2 linked regions of the Struthio camelus genome follow. The protein of the gene in region 1 purifies or fractionates together with the protein of each later gene. This does not show direct contact. Links are inferred from orthologs where the notes say so. Each region holds a gene or a part of one and is shown on either strand. Other genes may lie near its edges.

Evidence for each region. Proteins that work in one complex are often made in the same cells at the same time.
Region 2: the proteins of CYLD (region 1) and SPATA2L purify together in Homo sapiens (affinity purification with mass spectrometry; 3 studies listed by BioGRID and IntAct, with this or other methods). This does not show direct contact. The link is inferred for Struthio camelus from reciprocal best matches to the Homo sapiens genes CYLD and SPATA2L.

The regions. Positions count from the first base shown.
Region 1 is NC_090951.1:17,365,850-17,373,134, forward strand, and holds the start of CYLD (ubiquitin carboxyl-terminal hydrolase CYLD), read left to right. Parts: upstream 1-4,255; 5' UTR 4,256-4,358; exon of another isoform or gene 4,359-4,429; intron 4,430-4,762; exon of another isoform or gene 4,763-4,780; intron 4,781-7,285. UniProt on the Homo sapiens protein: Deubiquitinase that specifically cleaves 'Lys-63'- and linear 'Met-1'-linked polyubiquitin chains and is involved in NF-kappa-B activation and TNF-alpha-induced necroptosis.
Region 2 is NC_090951.1:1,875,676-1,883,311, forward strand, and holds the start of SPATA2L (spermatogenesis-associated protein 2-like protein), read left to right. Parts: upstream 1-4,596; 5' UTR 4,597-4,730; intron 4,731-5,053; exon of another isoform or gene 5,054-5,104; intron 5,105-5,786; 5' UTR 5,787-5,787; coding exon 5,788-6,093; intron 6,094-6,304; coding exon 6,305-7,369; 3' UTR 7,370-7,636. Other genes in the region: VPS9D1 (VPS9 domain-containing protein 1), read left to right, coding at 137-248, 625-687, 1,231-1,283, 1,417-1,504, 1,759-1,844, 1,969-2,459, 3,487-3,616, 3,693-3,901 and 3 more.

The sequences.
Region 1 (7,285 bases):
AATATCTTTCTCTTTATATCCTCAGTTTTACTTCCAACAGTCAAATACAGCATATGCAAAGGATTAAACAGTAGAAAAGGGGAATTTTTACAAAGACAGCATAACATTCTGCGGGATGAAGAAGTGCACTTACAGCGTCAGTTCATCTGACTACTCATAAAACTATGGTAAATTTTAATGGAAAAGCATGTTCTGTCACATTCGCTGAAGGAAAGCACTGACCTTATCTGGCACACAGAAAAAATGCACAGTATTAAAATGCATTCACCAAGCAATATGGAAAGAATGCTCTGCTGCAACATCGGAGCTAGGCGAGGTTGAAACCATAACATTTCAGTGCATAAAAATAGTTGTCATAGGAGTTTTGCTGGGTCCTCCTTGCCAATTTAGGATGGAAGTACTCACTTTAGGAAAGTCTGTTTTAGGAAGAGTGACCCGAAAGTTTATTTCTAACACTTGGTAATCAGCCACCACATGAGCTAGTCTTGCGATGCTATATCAAGGATGCCTATATCAAAAGACCATGTATGAGCTTTTGATGGGTTAAAGGCCAGAAGGGACTGCAGTAGAATACCCTGTCTTGATTTATACCTGATTTTTACTGTTCAGTTATACTCTATGCTTGATTTATACTCTGACAAAAAAATCCACAGCAATGTTCGAGAAATTATCCAGATAGATAATTCTGCTTCCGGTTATCTTTTTTTTGCCTATTTTCTGTGGGGACTACAATAATATAAATCTGACTTGGGCAACACGTTAACATTTTACAGATTACACAAACCCAAAGAGCCACAATATTTAATCATAGAATACAAAGTTGGTATTATCTTAAAAAATGTGAGAGAAACCAGTGCTATATGTAAACTGCAGTTTACTGACAGATTTTTACCATTGTAATGGGCACAGCAAGCTCCTGTCCTGGTGAAAGACAGAAGATTAACAGATAAGTAACGTAAGTGTTACTTATGTTAGTTAGAGTATCATGTCTCAGCTGTGGTTGTAATATGCTTTTTATAAAAAACTCTGCAGCTTCTGCCCCAATAAATACAGCTTCAAGTGACCTAGTAGGGTTTGCGCTGCTTTTCCCTCTCAGGCACCAAACTATGTAACTAATACTTTTTTATTTTATCTCATCATTTGTTGGAACTGTGGATGATGAGGAAAAACAAGAGGAGGCAGAAATACCTATTTGTCCAAGTCCTCTTTTATCAATAGCTAATATTTAGAAAGTACTGTAATGTTGTCTTTGATGCTTCTACAAGAACTTTTCCTCTCATTTTTAATGCAGCTGGATAAATAGCTACTATTTCCATGTTTGAAGTAGCAGAAAAATTCAGCTGTTCTTCATGAATATTCTGCACTTTTGGGATGATGTTGTGATAAATGAATATCATACTACTATCCTGACACAGCACAAAAGTATGTTCAATGTTATCTATATAATGTTTAATTGTAGAATGTTGTGTCATTTGAAAGTGGAATTTGTTTACCATTCTTCCATTACTAGAAAAGACGTTTATCAAGAGTGTGGTCTAAAAAAATAATTTGCAGTTTAATGGCAAATATCTCCTTGTGTTGGTGTTACAGACAGGGTTTTCAACATGAAAGAAACATAACAGGTCCATTTTACACTGCCAAAGCCCTGTTATCACTTTACAATTCCTTTATACTTCTAAAGGAGTATGAAGGAGCTTTAGCATAAATAACAGCCTTGGCCCTTCTTTCATCTGTGGTCTGTCAGTGACACAGAGCTGTAATGCAAGCCCAACGGGTCAATAGCATATTAACTCAGGTTAAATTTTACAAGCATTATTCTGCTGATAGAATAGCAGATTTTCTAAATGGTATATGCTGAAATAATAGAGGGTTAAATACATAATAACATAGACTAGGGAAATACTTTTAAAATATTTGTTTTAGGGCTACTAGGTATAGCATACCTATTCATTCCTAGCTAAAATTTTTATATGTTATTCTTATAACTTGCCTGTCCACCTTTCTTCTTGAATATGATAATAGTATACTTAGGCCAGTATTTGTATGCCAAGTTCCATGTGTAATGTATTTATACCTGGAATACAAACATCGTGAAATTTGGGAAAACAGGATTTACAGCAGACATACTGATGCATTTTGTAGCAGTATTAAAGGCAGCTCTACAAACAGAGGAAAATGCAGCTGCTTTGTATAGATAGCCACCTTGAGGATTAGCGGAGTATAACTGTGTTTTATTGTGTGCCCTTCTGCAAAACAAAGGGAATGTAATGCATAAATCATAGTATCTTTTCAGTGCTATTTATTCTTTAAAAATTAAGTATGACTTTAAAATGGAATTCTACTCTTAAGTGACTAAATAAAATGATTAACATGATTAATATGAATTTATTATTCCATAATAAATGCAAGCACATATTTTCCTCAGGCAAACCAACAAAGTCCTGGTTTCTGACATTCAGACTGTGTCCTTTTCATCTTGCACAGAACTAGCAGTAACGACAGCCTGTGTCACGTCTTCCCATCTTCTCACGGAAAGTATTGGTAGCGCTACACTTCAGCGCTGAAGCAGGCACTCTGCCCGCACGCAGGGCTACACCGCAGCCGCTCGTTCACTATGTCTCTATTAGATTCTGGAGACCCATGGGGAGTAGCATTAACTGGAACAGCCCTTATTTAAGCTAAAGTAGAACTAAACCATGTAAAAACAGATATCAAAGGAATGTTAAGGATGCTAATAAAATAGGAAAGCGTTTACTTGTGTGGCAACATTATCATAACCACCATAGGCATGTGATTGTATGCTTTTTTTTCAAAGATACCTGCTTGTAGAAAGCCCATTTCTCGCAGTACGAGATTTCAGAACAGCGTTTTTAAAATAAATTAATTATTAAACTATTTCACCAGTACTTTAAAGGACAATGTGATTTAAAAAAAGACATTTCTTTTTTAAAAACAAATGTTGTCATCCGCACATACTTCATGTGTGAGTAGAGCCTTTAAACATAACCTTCCTGTTGAGCAGCTCTTCTATTCTGAAGTTCATTCTCTCATTATTTAAGAAGAGCTCACTGAACATGTAAAACACTGATGTTAAGTAGTTAAAATAGCACAGAATTCAGATGACAGTTACATTCAAAAGTAGGTCAGTTAAAGAGGAGCTACATTTGGCTTGTATTAAATTTTCAGTAACACTACTTACACTTCTTGAGAGCAAAAATACTTCAAAACTAGATATTGAGGTAAGACCAAGTTTAATATTCATTAACAGTTTTCTAGGTAACTCAACCACTGAGTAACTCATGAGGCAACATTTAAAGTTATGCCACGAGTTTAGCGAAGTGGTTGGCAAAGCTACATACTGGGGAAACAGCATTTTGTGTAACATTGCAATAACGACGCTCACAATCTTCCCCAGGAAGCACTGCGGTTAATTAAATTAATTCAGTTAATAGTTTTCAACTTGGACAAGTTTCTGATGGTAAACTATGCTGTGGTCAAGCCCAGAGGAGTGTCGTCGACCTTTTCTCTTTCCGCAGGCGCCGTGCTTGCAGGGCTGCCGAACGGGCGGCCCTGTCACCCAGCGCCAAAGGGATTTAGGCCCCCGAAGCCTGCTGGACGGGCGGGACTGATCCGTCCGGCCCCTCAGTCTTCAGCTGCGCTGGCGAGACGCAGGCTGAGAAACGAGATGGATTCTGGCTGAGCTAACGCCTACTTCCTCAGATACTTTCCCCATCACGTAGCACTGATGGGCTTGTACCCCAGCCGCGGGACGGAGAACACGTCGATCAGTTACTCAGACCGGCCCGGCCCGGCCCGGCCCGGCCCTGCGCTCGCCGCCGGCGACCGTTAACGGCCGGCGGAGCCGCCGAGCCCCGCACCCACCCTGCGCCCCCCGGCCGCCCACCACCGCGCGCCGAGGCCTGCCCCGCCGCCAATGGGCGCCCAGCAACACACGCCGGCCGCCCAATCATCCTCCGCGCAGCCCCTGCCGTCCCGCCCCCTCCCGCCTTCGCCCTCTGGGTAGCCAATCCGCGCTCCCGAGAGGGAGCGCTCGGCCAACCGCGCCGTTCTGACCGCCCCTCCCTTCCACCTCCTCCTCTGCGCCTCATGCAAACTTGATGGAGCGGAAACCCCCCCCTCCTCATCCTCGCGTCACTCCGTGGCGCTCTTCGCCAATAGAGCTGCGAGGCGGTGGCGTTCCCGCCTTGTGATTGGCCGTGGGGCGGGCCCGAGGGCCGAAAGGGGCGGGCCCGGCGGGGCAGCAGGGTGCGTTTCGCAGGCCGGAGCGCCGGGCTGCTGTGACGACGATGAGGGAGCGGGGTGCGGGCCGGGCGGCGGGCGCGCCGGGCGCCGCGGCGGTGTGAGGCGGGGCCGGGGAAGTCCCGCCGCCGGGCCGAGCCGAGCCGGGAGCCGGGCCGGCGATGCGGAGGTGAGTGCGGGGCTGCGGCGTCAGGTAGGAGCGAGGCGGCCGCCGGGGCCCGCGGCGGCGGCGAGGGGAGAGGCCCTGTCCGGCGGCGGGCCAGGCCGGGCCGGGCGGCGGGGGCTCCTGCTCCGGCCCCGCCGTGAATTCCCTGCGGTGCCCCGTTAACTCCCGCTGCTCTTGCTTGAAAAGTGACCCGCAGCTTCCCTCTCTGGCTCGTGAACGTTTGGAGAAGGGCGGAAGATTCCGAAAACTGGGGGCGGGGGGAAATCAGCGTTTTCGAAAACTTAGCTTTGCGTTGGGCGTTGTGACTTGCAGGCGAGCTGTGCGTCGCGCTTCACCGTGTCAGGCCGCCGGCAGGTACGTCGGTCTTGTCTTCAGGCGCTTCTGTTGGGTACGGAGCACAGCTAAACCCGGTTTGGTTTTCGTTTCACGGTATGAATGTGTGCAGTTTGTTTTGTGCAGCGGACTTGGTGTCGCGTTGAGAAGAGGCTTGTCGGCAGAACAAGTGCTGATTACACGAACTTGATAAAATCTAGTAAATGTCGCAGTAATCTTTTGGCAATTGATAGTTGTTTTTATTCCTCCTCTAAAATCGATTATTTATATCAAAACGATAAAACCTTGTAAGAGTCAAAATTCATTGGCATTGTTAGAGTTTTTAACTGCACTTTTCTTTTAGAAATTGTGATACCAATGTGTGTTTATTTATATTAAGTAATATTTTAACCTGTTCTTAAAGAATTTCTTTTTTTTTCCCCCCTCTCTTGGCTTGTATTGCAATTATGTAATTCTGTATCTCTTAAGTTGTAGCAGTATTTACTTACTGCTGGTTTACCTTCATCTCTTGGAAAATGTTTTTTTCGGGCTGTTCAAGAAGATTACTTTGCTCTTCAGTTGCTTAAAACTTTTAAGGAGGAAGGTTTATAAGAAACAATTTGAACAGGTTATTGTAGCCTCTTTGTTTTATACTCTGAATCAAGGCTACAGAATTGCATGTTCATATTGAAACCTAATAGCTGGTTCAAACATCTGCTTGGTTCATACAAGGCTATTGCAGGGTAGAAACCAAGTTCTCGTGTTTCAGAACAAACCTCTTCGTGGTGAGATGACCCTCGGCAGCAATGGCAGTGACTCAGGCAGTGCAAAAAAGGAAGCTAGGGAAGTTTTGGAGTCAGGCAGCTTATTGTGGCCTACCTCTGACGCTTTTCAGAATATCCAGTGTTGCAGTCATAGTTCTGTTTTGCCTGTTGTTTCCCGAAATCACTTCGGCACAAAAATGTTTCAGGTAGTAGGTGGAGTAGAAGAACATGAATGAACAGCCTGACGCTTACAGGTCCATGGTGATGGTCATGTACTCCCTGGTACGCAGGAGGCTTGATAGTCGCTGTTATGTAGTGTAGTATAATGATAACTTGGTGCTAACCGTAATTGGTCTAGTTCCCAAATTAATTCGTACTGGGGTCTGATAGTGTTTTCTGGTCTTTGTCTGACAAACGTATACTGTATGTTCAGTGATCTGAATGTACTTTACTCACAGTATAACCAATTCCATTGAAAAAAAAATGTAAAAATATCTTCAAATCAGTGAAGCTTTTTGTGTGTATATATACTTCTGACATATTGATAGAAGTTAGCATCCTTTTCCAGGAAGATTTTCTCCTGTTAAGACAGTGATTTATTTTTTGCATGATTTAAAAAAAAAAAAAAAAAGATTTAAATTTGTAGTTAGACCTACATATACTTGTCTTTGGGAGGTGGAAATTGGTGGTAAATAAGTTCATTAAGGAAGGCTTTTTATATAGCAGTAGTGAACCTTGCTGTTGTAATGGAAAAACTTCTGGTACTACGTTTAGTGAGCACTTAACATCCCTGTGGATAACTAGCATTTTGAAAGGTTGGCCACAGACGTTATGAAGTTATCATTATATCATCTAATTGCAGCTGTTAACATTTTCCCATTGAATTTATTGCTACTAAGCACATTAAGATTATATAACATTGTAGCAGTGGACCAGCAAGTAGACTATAATTTTTTTTTTTAATAGCTGCAAAGAAGACTTCACTTGATGCATTCATCTTTATTTTTGTTTAAGCTCTTGAACAGACTTTCCTATTAATATCCCGCTTCCATACATACTCAGATGTAAATTACTTGTTTCCACAAGTGAACTAGATGAGGCTGTGACCCCTGTAATGTCAGAGGTATTTGAGTTTGCAGTGTGTTGGGAGTTGATTAACTTTGTGGAATGGCTTGCAAAAAGGGAAGTTAAGTGCATCAGCCCTTGAAAGGTGAGAACATAAAAGGCAACTGTGAAGAACAGGACCCTATCTTACCCCCTGTTGCACCCTCCCCAATGATTCTTAATGTCTGAGTAGATGTATGAAAGCTTATGGTCTCTTAAACGTATTCTCTTTACAGGGAAAAAGTAAATAGGTCTGTTGTTGATCTTCTCAACTCGAGTATAAAATATTATTTCAAACTAATACTGATGTTTGTTGTATGGACTTTATCTTTCTTGATGATTATGTGTCTCTAAAATAAAACTGAGGAAGATAAATATTTTAAAACTTGAAAACAGTTTCACAATCTGTTTACTAGATATCTTAATGAGATCTGAAACTGTCCAGATGCTGTGCCTCAGATGTGAATTATTTTGAAAATGCAAATGCTTTAAAACACATTGATTCTACAAGTTGTTGCAGCGTCAGCGTGATGACACCAACACCCATGTGTAACATCTGTGAAGATGAAACTCATGCATATTCAGGACCCGAATGGCTGTATCGTACAAGAGTGGCAGTAGGAGACTTAGCAGTTCAGCATAGAAATATTTGAATTCGTAATGCTTGAAAGATGTAACT
Region 2 (7,636 bases), about 15 Mb from region 1:
TGCGGAGGGACGGCGTCCGGTCCTCGGCAGGGTGCTGGGCGCCTGTGCTGAGCGCCCAAGGGCCCCGTGGCGCGCGCCCGCCGTTTGCGTACCTCCCGGCCGCCCCGGGAAGGCGCTCAGGGCTCGTTGCCGGCAGGGAGCTGACGCCGCTGGAGGAGGCGTCTCTGCAGAACCAGAAGCTGAAGGCTGCCTACGAGGCCCGGGTGGCGCGGCTGAACCCCCGCCAGGCCCTGCAGAAGACCTCCCTGGCAAGTGGGGAGCGCCGAGGGCTGGGGCTCTGCACGGGCTGGGCACGGAGCCGGGCAGCTCCCAACCCCCCCAGTCCCTCCCCGGGGCCTCGGCCAGAGTCGCGTCGGGTGTTGCAGGGCCCAAGCGGCCCTGGAGAGGCCCTGGCCCTGCTGGGGTGGCTCTGGGCCTGGGAAGGGAAAGGGCTCCTGCAGCGGCAGGGAGGTGGGGCGGGAGCATGCAGGCGCGATGGACCCCGGGCTGGGCTGGGAGGGAGCAGAGGGTCCCGCGAGGTGCCTGGGAGTTCCCCGAGCTGCCTGCCTGTCCGCATGCTCCCGCTGTGGCACGGGTGGCCGTGGGCTTTTGGCAGGCGTCACCAACACGCGCTCTGCTCCGCAGACGCTGTCCCTCCAGCGGCAGATGATGGAGAACCTGGTGATCGCCAAGGCCCGGGAGGAGACCGTATCCTTCCCGTTCGAAGAGCTCTGAGCGTGGGCCGTGCGGCTCTGCTGGGCCCCTGCTCTGCAGGGAGCATCGATGCAGCCAGGCCGGAGCAGCCCCGAGCCTGCGGGCAGCCCCAGCGCCTCTGGGCCTGCGCGTAGCCCGGGTTTCGTAGCCCCGTGCGCTGCTGCGGACACCTGTGCCTCGTCCCTGGGCTGCGCTGATCCAAAACGCGCTTTTGGGATCTGCTGTTACGGGCTGCCTTGGGGGGAAACGGGGTGGGAGAAGGGCAGATCCTGGCTCCTGCCCGGTAGGAGGCGGTGGCTGAGCCTGGACAAGCAGAGGCTGGAAGGCTCCTGCCCAGCTCTCCCCGGGCCGGCGTGGGGGTCCCGCAGGGGCTCCAGCCATGCTCGCCATGGTGGCGGGCCGTCAGGGACCCCCGGGCCGCGGGAGGAGACGCCGGGGCTGGCCGTGCGGGGTGGCGGGCGAGCGGGCTGGCCCCGTGCCGTGGTGGCGGCGGTGGCACGCAGGTGGCTCTGGAGCCTTGACTCTGCCGTGGCCCAGCTGCAGCGGAAAATGGAGGAGCGGCGGCTGCGGCTGCAGGAGGCTGCCAACAGGTGAGCGGGGCCGGGGCGTCGCGGCAGGGGGACCCCGCAGGCGCAGGGACCTCGTGTCCCTGTGCCTGGAGGGGGGTGCTGGTGGCGCCGCCCAGCAGACCCCCGCTGCCCACCGCCGCTGCTGCCCGGGCAGGAGGTTCTCCGGCAGCGTGGCCCTCACCCCCGAGGAGCAGGAGCAGAGAGCCCTCTACGCCGCCGTCCTCGAGTACGAGCAGGACCACGTGAGTGCGCTCCGGGGGCTGCTGCCTCCGGCCCCACTGGCCCGGGAAGCCTTATCCTGGGGGTGGGATGCTGCCTGGGGGGGCAGGATGCCCTTGCCTGGGGAAGGGATGCCTGGCCCTGGCAGCAGGACGCCTACTGTCCCCGTGTGCTGCTGGGGGCAGGATGCCTGCCGTCCCCGGGTCCGGGGGGAGCAGGACGCGGTGCCGTCCCGGCCCCGGGGTCCCGTCTCATCCGCCCGCGGGCGCTCTCCCAGGACTGGCCGCGGCAGTGGAAGGCCAAGCTGAAGCGGAGCCCGGCGGATCTCTCCGTGGTGGCGGGGCTCTTCTCCTGCCTCCTCAGGTAGCGCCTGGGCTGGGAAGGGGCCGGGCTGGGAGGGAGGGAGGGGGCCGCGGCTGCTTGCCAATGCCTCCTGGCGCCTGCCCGCCCCTCGCCTCCGTCAGCAGCCCCTTCCCTCTGCTTGCAGCTTCCCCGAGCACCCCATTGCCCAGCTCCTGCGGAAGCTGCAGTGCGCGGTGTATGGCCGGCTCTACCCGGCCGTCAGCCAGGGCGCTGCCGACGCCGCCCCCGCCTCCCCCACCGGCCTCTCCTTCCTCTCGCTGGACGCCGGGGCCCTGCTGGCCCCGGAGCCCGGGGGCCGGCGGCTCCGAGCCTCCCGCAGCCTGCACTGCATGTTCTCGGTGCCGGAGCACGGCCCGGCCGGCCTGCGGCACAGCCTGTCCAGCTCGCCCCTGGCCGACGGGCGCGGGCTCGAGGGCGGCTCCCCGGGGCCGGCCGGGCCCCCAGCAGGGGCAGCCAGCCCCCCGCCCCCCCGGGAGAGCTCCTTTGAGGACCTGGAGCGGTTCCTGGCGTCGCCCGAGGGCTGGCGCGCGGGGGAGCCCCCGGCCGGCCCCGCGCAGAAGGCGTCGCTGCAGGAGCAGCTGAAGGGCGTCGTGCGGGACATCCACAACGCCATCGGTGAGCGGCGGCCGCTGGGCCGGGGCGCCGGGGCAGGGGGTCGGGGCAGGGCTCTGCCCTCCGGCGGTGGGGGGATCCAGACATCTCGGCCAGGGTGAGGCAGGGGCTGGGCAATGGCCCTGGACGCGGTGCCTCCGTCACCCAGGGGTGTGGGGCAGAGAGGGAGCCCGCAGGCAGAGCCTGGGTGTGGGGCTGCTGCAGGCTGTGCCAAATTGTGGGGACCTGGGGGGGGACTGGGGCAGGGACCTGGGGCAACTGGGGCAGGGATGTGGGGCAGGGACCTGGGGCGGCTGGCCAGGGACACAGGGCAGGGCTGCAGGGCGGCTGGGGCAGGGATGTAGGGCAGGGATGTGAGGTGCCTAGGGCAGAGGCATGGGGCAGGGGTGTGAGATACTTGGGGCAGGGACATGGGGCAGGGACGTGGGGCAGGGATGCGAGGTGCCTAGGGCAGGGACATGAGGCAGGGATGCAGGGTGCCTAGGGCAGGGATGTGGGGCACCTGGGGCAGGGACATGGGACAGGGATGCGAGGTGCCTGGGGCAGGGACGTGGGGCAGCTGTGGCAGGGATGTGGGGCAGGGATGCGAGGTGCCTAAGGCAGGGACGTGGGGTAGGGATGCAGGGTGCCTGGGGCAGGGATGTGAGGTGCCTGGGGCAGGGCCATGGGGCAGGGCCAAGGGGCAGGGACAGGGGACGAGGATGCAGGGCAGGGATGTGGGGCGCCTGGGGCAGGGCTGTGGGGCAGGGACGTGGGGCGGGCACAGGGGACGAGGATGCAGGGCAGGGATGCGGGGTGCCTGAGGCAGGGACAGGGGGCAGGGACATGGGGTGAGGATGCGGGGCAGGGATGCGGGGTGCCTGGAGCAAGGACGTGGGGCAGGAAAATGGGGTGAGGATGCGGGGCAGGGATGCAGGGTGCCTGGGGCAGGGCGGCGGGGTGAGGATGCGGGGCCGGCCGGGGAGGACAGGGGCGGTCCGGCCGGCGCGCAGCCCCGGCTGAGCGCGCTGCGTAACTCGGCCCTTCCCAGACAGGCTGCTGTCCCTGAGCCTGCTGGCCTTCGAGGGGCTCAGCGCGGCGCCCTGCAAGGAGCAGTGCCTGGCCTGCATCGAGGAGGCCTTCTTCCCCCCGCTGTGGGCTCCGCTGCTGGCGCTGTACAGGTAGGGCGCTCGGGGCTGGGCCGGAGGCGGCGGCGGCGCCCGGCCCCCACCTGCCCGCAGCCTCGCCTGCCCGCAGGAGCGTGCACCGGCCCCGCGAAGCGGCCCTGGCCAGGAGCATGGAGCGGCACCGCAGCGCCGGCCCCGCCGAGCTGGGCCTGTCGCCCCGGCTCTTCCCGCCGGCGGCCGGGGCGCGGGCAGGCGGCGGCCCCGCGTACGGCTCCGCCGTGGAGGACTTGCGCCTCATCCCGCTGGAGACGTGTCCCCAGAGGAAGCTGGAGTGCATCGGTGGGTGGCTGGGGGCGCGCGGGGCGCGCGGGGCGGGCGCGGGGCCCAACCTCACGGCCGTGCTGCGCCCCCAGTGCGAGCCCTGCGCGTCATCTGCGAGTGCGCGGAGGAGTACTGCGGCGCCCGGGACAGCCGGCCCCCCCCCGCCGCCGCCGCCGCCATGTGAGTACGGCCCGGCCGGCGCGGGCACGCGCGGCCCCGCAGCTGCGCCGAGCGGGGGCTGCGGCGACGGGCTTCGCTCCCCGCTGGGCAGCGCCCCGAGGCTGCCTGCCCTGCCGGCGCGCCGGGGCTCACGGATGCCGTTGCCGGCAGCGGGGCGGACGACCTGCTGCCCATCCTGTCCTACGTGGTGCTGCAGAGCGGGCTGCCCCAGCTGGTGTCCGAGTGCGCGGCCCTGGAGGAGTTCATCCACGAGGGGTAGGTGCCGCCGGGGCCCCGCGGGAGCCGGGCGCGCGGGCGCTGGCCGTGACGCCGGCGCGCCCCTCTGCCGCAGGTACCTCATCGGCGAGGAGGGGTACTGCCTGACCTCGCTGCAGAGCGCCCTGTCCTACGTGGAGTCGCTGCGCTGAGCAGCCGGCAGCCCGGCCACCCCTCGGCGAAGCCGGACGGAAGGACGGACGGACGGACGGACGGGGCGGGTGCCGCTGGGCTCCCGGCGCTTCCCGGCGCCGCCGACGTTGCCGAGGGTCCCGCGGGGCCGCGCGGACGGACTGGAACTGCCGGGGTGGGGGAAGCCGCCGGGGGCCGGAGGACGCGGCGAAACACCGGAGGGGCCCCGGGGCTGAGCCCCCCCGGGTGCCGCCGCGGCGGGGGGCAGCGGCTAATAAAGGTGCCTGCCCGCCGCCTCCGCTGCTGCCGCCTGCGGCGCTCGGGGCTCCGGCCGGCGCGGGCTGCCCCGGGGCCCGGGGGTGGGGGAGCCCCAGCCCCGCTGCCCCCCGCCCTCCCCGGGGCCCGGTCGTTGCCTGCCCGGTTGCCCCGGGGCCGGTGCCCCGGGGGCGCCGCTGCTCCTCCCGCCCGCGGGGTGGCGCTGTCGGCGCGAGTTGGGGGGGGTTGCGGTGGGCGGGCCGGGGTTGGCCCCGCCCCTCGGAGGGGGCGTGGCGGCGGGAACCGCCCCGCACACGTCACGGCCCGAAGGGGGCGGGGCGGGGCGCGGGAGAGGCGGAAGGGGCGCCGCTGGGGCCCCGCGGGGAGCCGGGGCGGCAGGTGAGGGGGGGGCCCGGGCCACGCCCCCTGCTGGGGGTTCAGGCCACGCCCCCTGCTGGGGGATCCCCCGGGTCCCCGCGCCGCCGGGGCCGGGGAGGGGTCCCGCGGAGGGGCCGCGGTCGGGGCTGGGCGCTGAGCGCGGGGCGCGGGGGACAGGCCCGGGAGCCTGGCCTGGGTGCAGGGTGCTGAGGGCACGGGCAGGAGGAGGGAGCCGGGCCCGGGTGCAGGGTGCTGAGCCCATAGGCGGGAGGAGGGTGCAGGGTGCTGAGGGCACAGGCAGGAGGAGGGTGGCGGGCCTGAGCGCAGGGTGCTGAGCCCATAGGTGGGAGCAGGGTGGCAGGCTTGTGCTCAGGGTGCTAGGCTATGTCTGGGCGCAGGATGCTGAGGCCAGGTGCAGGGTGGTGGGCCTGGGAGCAGGGTGCTGAGTCGGTGGATGGGAGCAGGGTGCTGGGTCTGGGTGCGAGACTATGGCCAGGTGCAGGATGCTGGGCCAGCTGCAGGGTGCCCGGGCTATGGACAGGATCAGGGTGCTGAGGTCACGGGCAGGAGGAGGGAGCCAGGTCTGGGTGCAGGGTGCTGAGACCACGGGCAGGAGGAGGGAGCCGGGCCTGGGTGCAGGGTGCTGAGGCCGTGGCAGGCCCAGGGGGGAGGCCGGCCAGGCTGAGGCCGCTGCCTCCCGCAGGATGTGCTCCGGCGCGGCGCTGCGGCAGGAGTACCGGCGCTGCCTGGAGCGGGACTTGCGGCGGGGCCGCGCCGGGGCCTGCTCCGACGCCGCCTTCGGGGAGCTGCTCCGGCAGCGCCTGCGGGACGACCCGGCGCTGCTCCGGGCCCTGCAGGACGACGCCGCGGCCCTCCTGGCCAGCGGCCTGCGGGGCCGCCGCGACCTGGTGCAGGCGCTCCGGGGCCTGGCCGGCGCCTTCGAGGTGCTGGAGCTGGCGGCCATCAACCTCTACCTCTTCCCCTGGCGCAAGGAGTTCGGCACCGTCAAGGTGGGGAGCCCGGTGCTGGCCGCGTGGCTGGGTCGGGGCTGGCTCGTGCCGGGGTGCCCGGGCAGGAGGAGCCCCGGGGGGACGCCCGGGAGTCGCTGGCGGCGGGGTTGGGGCCGGCTGAGCTGCCCACACTTGTGGCTCGCGGGCGGCTGTGGGGCATTAGGAGGGAGCCGGGGCGGGCGCTGCAGCCGTGCCCGCGCTCTCCTTGCAGACCTTCTCGGGGACGTACGTGCACCGGCTGCGAGCGGCGCTCCCCGAGGCCGACCTGGCGCGGAGCTTCGGCCGCCTGGGCTACGTGAGGAGGGACGACCACCACCTCGCCGTCTCCCGGCCGCCCCCGGGGCCCGAGCTCGTCGCCGCCGCCTGTGGCTTCTTCGCCTGCCGGCTGGAGTGCGAGATCCTGGTGGAGGTGGTGCTGCGGCTGCGGCCGCGCCGCGTGCGCGCCCAAGACCTGCTCGAGGCGCGGCAGCTCGCCGGCGGCACGGAGGCCTGCGTGGAGGCGCTGCGGCGACTGGCGCTGCAGCGCGACGCCGGGGCCGGCTGCAGCGACTGCGTGGATCTGTACCGGGAGCCGCCGGTGGGCCCCGAGGACGCTGGCCCCGCGGGAGGCCGGCAGGATGCAGTCCCCTCGCCGCTGCCTGGACCCACCCCGCGGGAGCAGGGCGCCAGGCTCGGGAGGGACCCGGCTGGGCTGCGGGGTGCTCAGGACGCGCCCAGGAGGAGCTGGGACCTCGTGGGACGCGGTGAGCTGGGGCGGGAGCGGCTCCCCTCCGAGGGTAACGCCGATCCAGACGCCTCCTCTCGCCTCCTCCTGGAGCAGGAGCTCGGTGGGGCTGGCGGCTCCCGAGACGCCGTGACTGCGGGGAGCGAAGGCCCCCAGGTGAGCTCCCGCTGCTCCCCTCCTGCCCCTGCCCTGAGCCGGGCAGCAAACTGCCCTGCGCTGGGCCTGGCCCGGCCCGGCCACCTGGGTGAGCCCCAGCAGCCCCCGGCGAGCGGCAGACCCGGGGATTTGCCCCCTGCTGCCCCGCGGCCTGCGAGCGGGGAGGCACCGGAGCTGCCCTGCTACCAGCTGCACTCGTGCCTGCGCCGCGGCGTGCTGCCCTCGTACTGCTGCACCACGTGCCAGCAGCTCCACGCCGGCGCCTGCGCGGCCGCGCAGGCCTGCCGGACCCTCCACCGTGGCCAGGAGCTGCGCAGCGAGAAGCAGCAGCGCCTCTGGCTGCAGAGGACAGAGGTGGACATGCTGCTGGCCGACGGCTCCAGCGCCTGGACCTAGCTGGCGGGAAGGCCACGGGCTGGGCCGCGGCCAGCATTAACGGGAACTGCTGCTGGCTGCGCTGGGTTTCCCCAGGTGGGAGGGAACTGGGCAGCTCACGGGTCTCCAGGCAACCACTACTTGGCCTGAGGATGAGCAGCTTGAACCTCTCAACCCCAGCCCTCCCTTCAAGCGGTTGCGGGTAGCAGGGCCGGTGCCAAGCTCGGCTACCCCACAGCTGGGCAGCGCAGGGCAGCACATCCCCCTCTTCAGGCAGTAGGTCAAGGG